Oryctolagus cuniculus: one gene and its partner. Each later gene encodes a partner of the first gene's protein in a complex. Links are inferred from orthologs where the notes say so. Each region holds a gene or a part of one and is shown in the gene's direction. Other genes may lie near its edges.

Region 1 (3,511 bases):
CAGCATCTCAGTGCCCACTGGACAGGAGGAGGAGCCGAGTGCCCCCTCCTCTCCCCTCTGACCACCATCCTCACTTGTACTGGGCAGTGCCACCCAGTGGCCAAGCGCTGTGCCTCTGGCCCCTGCCTCCCACGAGCAGGTCTGTTAGGCCTGCAGCAGCTGTCTCAGGAAGCCGTGTCCTGAGCACCTGTGTCGCATGCTCCTTCCGGACATGGGCCATGGCCTTCCCTGGGCTGGGCACTGGGGCTGCCTCCACCCGGTCTCCCTGAGCACCGTCAGGGGCTGGGCACTGGGGCTGCCTCCACCCGGTCTCCCTGAGCACCGTCAGGGGCTGGGCACTGGGGCTGCCTCCACCCGGTCTCCCTGAGCACCGTCAGGGGCTGGGCACTGGGGCTCCCTCCACCCGGTCTCCCTGAGCACCGTCAGGGGCTGGGCACTGGGGCTCCCTCCACCCGGTCTCCCTGAGCACCGTCAGGCAGTGCTTCCCCTTGGCTAGTTCACGCTGCTGCTGCTTCTTGTTTTTGTTTTTGTTTTTGTTTTTGTTTTTTTCTTTTTTTAAAGCTTTATTTATTTATTTATTTGAAAGCATTGCAGAGAAAGAGAGAGGCAGAGACAGAGAGATCTTCTGTTCGCTGGTTCAGTCCCCAGATGGCCACAGCGGCTGGGGTTGGGCCAGTCAGGAGCCAGGAGCTTCTTCCAGGTCTCCCACGTGGGTGAAGGGGTCCAAGCACTTGGTCTGTCCGCTGCTGCTTTCCCGGGTGCATTAGCAGGGAGCTGGATGGGAAGTGGAGCAGCCGGCACTGACTGGCGCCCATGTGGGAGGCCGGCGCTGCAGGCGTGGCTTTACCTGCTGCCTGGTGCGGGTTGGACGTTTGTGCGGTCAGTTTTAGAGGTGGGCCCCGCGTGTGTCACTCCTTCATCACTCTTGAGTACGCAGAGTAGTGTCTGAGAAGGGGTGGAGCGACTCTTAGCCCAGAGCTGCGGGGGAGGCTGGAGGGTGGCCTGGGGCTGGCCATGCTGACGCCCGCCACGCCCCCCAGCCACTTCCACCTGGACCACTGCGGAGCGCTGCCCTACTTCAGTGAGATGGTGGGCTACGACGGGCCCATCTACATGACGCACCCCACGCAGGCCATCTGCCCCATCCTGCTGGAGGACTACCGCAAGATTGCCGTGGACAAGAAGGGCGAGGCCAACTTCTTCACCTCCCAGATGATCAAGGACTGCATGAAGAAGGTGGTGGCCGTGCACCTGCACCAGACGGTCCAGGTCAGCCCAGCGCCCTCCCCGCAGTGGGCCCGGGCCGCCAGGAGGGCAGGGGTGCATGCAGTGTGTGTGCGGGTGCGTGGGGCCCTTGCGTCCACCTGGCTGGCATTCCTGCGAGGCCCCTTGTGCCTCTGTGCGTGCCTGGTGCTGTCCAGTGGTGGTCAGGCCTGGGCAGAGATGGACGGCGAGTTCTGAAGGCCCCAGCCCTGGGCTTGATGACCAACGTGTGTGGGTCAGGGCAGAAGCAAAGGCGTGTAACTCGGATGGGGGAAACGCCTCCCCAAGATCGTGGCCCCGCCTGGACGGAGTCGGGCTCGGCCTGTGCTCTGGAAGCTGCTGTGGGCGCCCCCCTCGTCTGCCGGCTGAACGCCTGTGCCGCGGGGAGCCGTCCCCTGCCGGCTGAACGCCTGTGCCGCGGGGAGCCGTCCCCCAGCACCCTGTGTTCCGTGGACGTTTTTCCGTCTAACTGTGGCCCGTCCACACGGAGCTCGTGGCTCTGCGTTGAAGAACTTGGTTTCTGTTTGAAGATTATTTGAAAGGCAGAGCGTTCGAGAGACGGAGCGACGCAGACAGCACTTCCCTTCCGTCTGCTGGGTTAGTCCTCAGCTGGCTGCAGCAGCCAGGTCTGCAGCAGGCTGAGGTCAGTGCCTGGGAGCCCAGTCCCGCTCTCCCGTGGGGGCAGGGGTCACTGCTACCTCCCAGGGCGCTTCCGACGTGGAGTGTGGCCACCTCAGGTGGTGTCTGGCACCTTAACCCCCAAGCCCCAAGCCTGCACCCCGAGAGCCACCCCGTGTTCAGAGCCGCATCTGACCGCGGGCCCTGGCCCACAGCCGTGTCACGGTCGTCGCTCCCTGACCGCGGGGCCTGGCTCACAGCCGTGTCACGGTCGTCGCTCCCTGACCACGGGGCCTGGCTCACAGCCGTGTCACGGTCGTCGCTCCCTGACCGCGGGGCCCTGGCCCACAGCCGTGTCATGGTCGTCGCTCCCAGACCGCGGGGCCTGGCCCACAGCCGTGTCACGGTCGTCGCTCCCTGACCGCGGGGCCTGGCCCACAGCCGTGTCACGGTCGTCGCTCCCTGTGCTTCTGTGTGCGGGGCCCAGGCAGAGCCTACTGCTGTGGCCCCTGCCCCTGAGCGCGGCCCCTCCCCCGCAGGTGGACGACGAGCTGGAGATCAAGGCTTACTACGCGGGCCACGTGCTGGGGGCAGCCATGTTCCAGATTAAAGTGGGCTCAGAGTCCGTGGTCTATACGGTAGGTGGAAGGCTGGGGGCGGGGCTTCCCCGGGGGCGGGGCAGCCTCTTCATCGCCACTTCCCCACAGGGCGACTATAACATGACCCCCGACCGGCATTTGGGGTGAGTCCCACATGTACCTCGCCCATCCTGGGGGTGAGGGTCCCGGCCCCTGCTCAGCGTGCGGATGTCCCCTGTGGGTCGTCCCCCCTGGGGACTTGGGGCCTAGGTGCTTGAAGGCCCGAGGCCCAGTCGCTCGGGCCCGTGCAGTGCTGGACGTCCGTCTGTTCCAGAGCTGCCTGGATCGATAAGTGCCGCCCGGACCTGCTCATCACGGAGTCCACCTACGCCACCACCATCCGCGACTCCAAGCGCTGCCGTGAGCGGGACTTCCTCAAGAAGGTCCACGAGACCGTGGAGCGGGGCGGCAAGGTAGCCGCCGTCCGGCCAGCTGCCCGGGCCACGTGCTCCGGGGGCGGCCGCTGGAGCCCTTCCCCGTGGTCCCCGGCGGGGGGTCGGGGGCACTGCACACCCTCGCACGGGCAGGGCTGCCTGGCCCCGCTGGGAGCAGGCTCCAGCCGTAGGACCGGCTGTGCCTTGCTGCTGGGTGGGAGCCCCGCCTGAGCGCCCCCGTCCTGCAGGTGCTGATCCCCGTGTTTGCGCTGGGCCGTGCGCAGGAGCTCTGCATTCTGCTGGAGACCTTCTGGTAGGTGGGCCAGGGCTCTCCCGGCTCCGCTGGCGTCTGCTTACTGTCGGGGCAGTGGGGGCTGCCCCAGTCCGGGGGCCCCGTGTTGTCCCCATACTGGCCATGTCAGGGCCCTCGTCAGCTCCAGCGCATCACAGGACACAGGCTGGGGCATCAGCCGGTGGTCACAGCAGCGGGACCGGGCTGGGGTGGCCACGGGTGTGGGGAGCGGCCCAGGCCTGCGATGGCTGTGCTGACCGGGCTGGGGTGGCCACGGGTGTGGGGAGCGGCCCAGGCCTGCGATGGCTGTGCTGACCGGGCTGGGG
Region 2 (3,739 bases), on another chromosome or scaffold:
CCGGTGACTCCTTCCCGGGCCCTTCAGGGAGAGCCGTGCTAGGGGTCCTGCCCTGCCCACCTCTGCAGGTGCCTGGCACTTAGGAGTGGCAGGAGGCTCCATTCGTGGGCGGCGCCGCGCCCCCACCCCGCCTTGCCAGATCAACTCTTCTGTGTTTTCATTCAGTACAGGAGGCTTCCGGTGCAAATACTGCAGAAGTGATGCCAGCAGCAGCTCACCTTAGACTGTGCCGGCCCGGGGGAGGTGGCAGTGCCGCCTGGATGTAAATGCTGGGCGCCAGTCCGTCTCTGCACGGCTGGGATTCCTGACGGGGTCGCCAGAGCTGGCGGGACGCACACGAGGTTATATCCCTGCTGTATCGGTTGCTCCCCTGTTGAAGCTGTGAATAAAAACCCTGCTCTTCACACAGAATGCGTGGTCCTCTCCTTCCAGCTAGGTTTGAGGGAGGGCGGGAGAGGGGCCGGGAGACAGACGGGGCTGGAGCACTTGGCGCCATGGCCCAGCCTGGCACTGACTCCTGCTCAATCAAGCTACGCCTGCGGTACGCCTGGTCTCCCGTGTCCCTGCCTGCGCGGCACTGCCGGGCTTGCCCCTCTCATTTCTTCCCCACGCCAGGCTTTGAGAGGGCGGGCGCCCCCCTACCCTCCTCGCTGGCATTCAGCAGGGAGGCTGCAGAATCCCAGTTCAGACGGGCGCTCCGGTGTTAGTACAGGGGGCTGGGCTGCCACACACGGCCGGCGAGTATTTGGGCCCTCCGGCATCGGGGAATCCCCGATTTTACGTCACTTTCCCCGGGGCTGCCGCCCGGAGAACCCCGGACACTCCCAGTCCCAAAAGCGACGCGTGGGGATCCGCGGTCCGATCCCTTCGGCCCCGCCCCCGGGCGGGAGGCCACGCCCAGGTCTCGCGAGAGCGCGGCGGCTGTCCTTCCGCTCGGCAGCGGAAGTGGGGTGTCGGCAGCGGCCGTTGCCATGGAGTCCGCGGAGGACTGGCTGGTGGAGTCCTTGCGTTTGTGAGTCGCGCGGGGCTGTGGGTCGGGCTCTGGGCCTGGAGCTGGAGGGATGGGCGGATGGGTGCGGGTGGAGGAGCGCAGCGAAGGCTGGGGGAGGCTGGGGCGATGCGGAGGACTCCGCCCGGCCGCGACGCCTGCACATGGCCCCTCCGCGCGCCTGTGGCTTGTGTGAGGTGCTCGTGGGAGCGGCGCGTGTGGCCGGCGCGTTCGCTCTAGCCTCGGAGGTTAGTCCTGGACCCAGATGTCTCATTGATGCCCCACATCAGCCTGGGGAATCTGGCTGGCCTGGGAGTTACTCAGGACCGAGGCGTAGGGACGTTACGCCGCTGGCTGGGCCAGACACGGAGCGAACGCCCGACGAGACTCGGCCCCACGCCTGCTGACGCCAGAGCCTGGGCCCCATCTGTGAGTTCTGGGGCACCGAGTGGTTTGTGTGTCCTTCATTGTGCAGGTACCAGGATTTCCATGCATTCGACCTGTCGGGAGCCACTCGAGTCCTTGAATGGATTGGGAACAAAGGTGATCTGTCCCCCAAGCAGGTGGAGTCGCACTGTCTCAGGGACTCCGCCCCTGGCAGCACTGGGGCGCCCGTCCGTGCTCCCTTGTATAATCCCCTTACTCAGCTCGCCCATCGTCTGGGGTTGCGTGCCAGCATGGGGAAGACTTGGCGGGAGTTTGTGAACTCCGCGGTGGTCTGCAGTCTCACGGTCTCACGCTGCTTCTGCCTTTCTCCAGGAGTCTTTGTTGCTGGCTATGAAAGCCTGAAAAAAAACGAGATTCTTCATCTCGTATTGCCTCACCGACTTTCTGTAAAGGAAAACCAGGTAACTTGAAATATGCGTGTGTTGACTTTTATTTATGAAGCATTTGTGGAGGTTGTATTGTCTATCAGGTAATGCCCTGGATGAGAGAGAGAGAGAGAGAGAGAGAAGCACTGTGCCAGTCCTTCAGTGTAATAGAGGGAGGTAAATGCTTAGAGTTGAATGCTAACGTGGTTTATGTGGGGCTACTGGAGCGAGAAGCTGATTTTAGTTTATCAAAACTAAATGGTTTCGGAAACCGTCAGGGGATGGGATGGTTCCACTGGCCTAGGATTAGTGTGTGGTGGGTAAGGAATCAGAGATGACAGCTAAGGATAGAACCTCCCAGAGCACACTGGTACCGTGAACGCTCAGGGTCTCTGAGATAGGAGGAGTCGGAAAAAGGCCAGTGTTTCAGGAGCCAAGAGAAGAACCCCTGGCCAGGAGAAGAGAGTTGGTGACTGCCCTCGGATGCTGGGGAGTGGCTGGGTTCGCTCAGGAGACTGGCATTTGGGAAGTTCGCGGTGACGTCGGCTGCAGTGTTTTTGGTGAGGGCAAATATTGAGAGGAAGGAGGCCATGCCATCGGGAAGTGCCGGGAGGGAAGAAACCAGCCCCTGCCCCTGTCTGGGACACAGATTCCAGGGAGAGTGTCCCCAAGCAGGGCCCGAGCAGAGTGACAAGCCGTGGGGAAGAAAGCCCTGAAGGAGGAGAGGATGTGCGGGAGAGAGGGAGGGAGGGAGGGAGCAGCGCCCTGGACACGATTCTGCCTCCAGGGGTACAGGGTGACAAGAGAGGGGACTCCAGGGCTTGGTGATCGTCAGGAGACAGGAGGGGCGAGGCTACCAGTCGGATAACCCATCGCGCCACAATGCCAGCCCCTGCAATTTAACTCCTCTGTGACCTTAGAGAAGTTGCCTAAGCTCCCTGTGCCTTAGGGTTGTCATGTTCAGAACAGTGCCAGCTCTGGTAGCTGCGCCACAGGGTAGTGTAAGACGTAAATGTGATAAAGCCCCAAACACAGGGCCCGGCAGAGCGAGCACGTGTTACGCAGCCGGTGTTAACGCCTGTGTAGCTGCAAGAACCCCTGGTGTCCAGGGGAGGGATGGGGAGAAGTGGGCGTGTGTTCATCGCTCCTGGATCCCTCTTGCCCTGGTGAAGCTGCCGACCCCCTGGACTCCCCTGAGAGGGCTGGAGTGTCGTGGGTGCTGGAGTGGAAGGGCCTGGCGAAACGAGGGGCAGGGCTTTGGGTGGCAGAGAAGGGGGAGAGCACCTGCGACCGACACCCATAGATAGCACACCAGGGCCCTCGGGAGGCTGAGGCTGAGTGGCCAGCTCTCATTGGCCCGTTTTGCGTTTCAGGGCTTATTCCCGGAAAGAGACTTTAAAGTGTGCCATGGAGGGTTTTCAGACAGGTGTGTTTTTGCTCTAAAGCACGTGCCAGATACCAGGTAAGGCCAGTTCTGTGGTCCGGAGCTTCCATTCAGTCCCGGGGATCCTGCCTTGTCATCACCACCCCTGCCCTTCTGCACGTGTGTGCACACAGATCTAAAATACAAAGAACCACGCCTGTGGCTTCCCACGCGCCCCTGCTGCTCTCACTGACGTACCCAGCACGGGTGTGGGATCGGGCCAGAGGGTGCCCTTCATCTCTGAGAGCGCTGATGGGGCGCTGAGGGGCCCTGGGCCAGGGCGGGTGTTCAGGTTCCCCACTAGTGTCCTCTCGAGGTGACTTGAGGACATGCGGACGGCTGGACTTAGCCCCGTGACTCCCGTGAGCTGTGTCCCTGTCCCTCAAGTGGAGTAAGCGTCTTCCTCCCCTCGTGAGCCTGGGTGGTCTGGATGAGCCTGCAGTTTCTTAGGAAACGGAGGGTGGAGGGAGCCCATGCTGAGGGGCGGGCAGGGAAGGAGGGGATGTGGGTGAGCAC

The links. The genes of interacting proteins can lie anywhere in the genome.
Region 2: the proteins of INTS11 (region 1) and WDR73 are in contact, whole or in part, in a cryo-EM structure (PDB 8R22), measured with the Homo sapiens proteins. The link is inferred for Oryctolagus cuniculus from reciprocal best matches to the Homo sapiens genes INTS11 and WDR73. Residues at the interface, in NP_060341.2 of Homo sapiens: Tyr206, Thr208, Thr209, Ile210, Arg211, Asp212, Ser213, Arg215, Cys216, Arg217, Glu218, Arg219, Asp220, Leu222, Lys223, Lys224, His226, Phe255, Arg258, Met259, Leu364, Val384, Glu385, Tyr386, Ser388, Lys418, Lys419, Glu421, Phe422, Gln425; in NP_116245.2 of Homo sapiens: Asp5, Asp6, Leu8, Val9, Ser11, Leu12, Tyr15, Gln16, Phe18, Tyr19, Ala20, Phe21, Asp22, Leu23, Glu50, Leu52, Arg59, Leu68, Phe69, Pro70, Glu71, Arg72, Asp73, Phe74, Lys75, Val76, Gly79, Phe81, Asp116, Ser117.

Annotation. Positions count from the first base shown.
Region 1 is NC_091438.1:164,188,323-164,191,833, forward strand, and holds part of INTS11 (integrator complex subunit 11), read left to right. Parts: intron 1-428; exon of another isoform or gene 429-1,040; coding exon 1,041-1,269; exon of another isoform or gene 1,270-2,266; intron 2,267-2,311; exon of another isoform or gene 2,312-2,420; coding exon 2,421-2,519; intron 2,520-2,588; coding exon 2,589-2,623; intron 2,624-2,793; coding exon 2,794-2,932; intron 2,933-3,141; coding exon 3,142-3,206; intron 3,207-3,511.
Region 2 is NC_091443.1:100,944,694-100,948,432, reverse strand, and holds the start of WDR73 (WD repeat-containing protein 73), read left to right. Parts: upstream 1-882; 5' UTR 883-971; coding exon 972-1,012; intron 1,013-1,463; coding exon 1,464-1,531; intron 1,532-1,747; coding exon 1,748-1,836; intron 1,837-3,173; coding exon 3,174-3,262; intron 3,263-3,739. Other genes in the region: NMB (neuromedin-B), read left to right, coding at 166-201. UniProt on the Homo sapiens protein: Component of a multiprotein complex required for the assembly of the RNA endonuclease module of the integrator complex. Associates with INTS9 and INTS11 in the cytoplasm, stabilizing the INTS9-INTS11 heterodimer and blocking the active site of INTS11.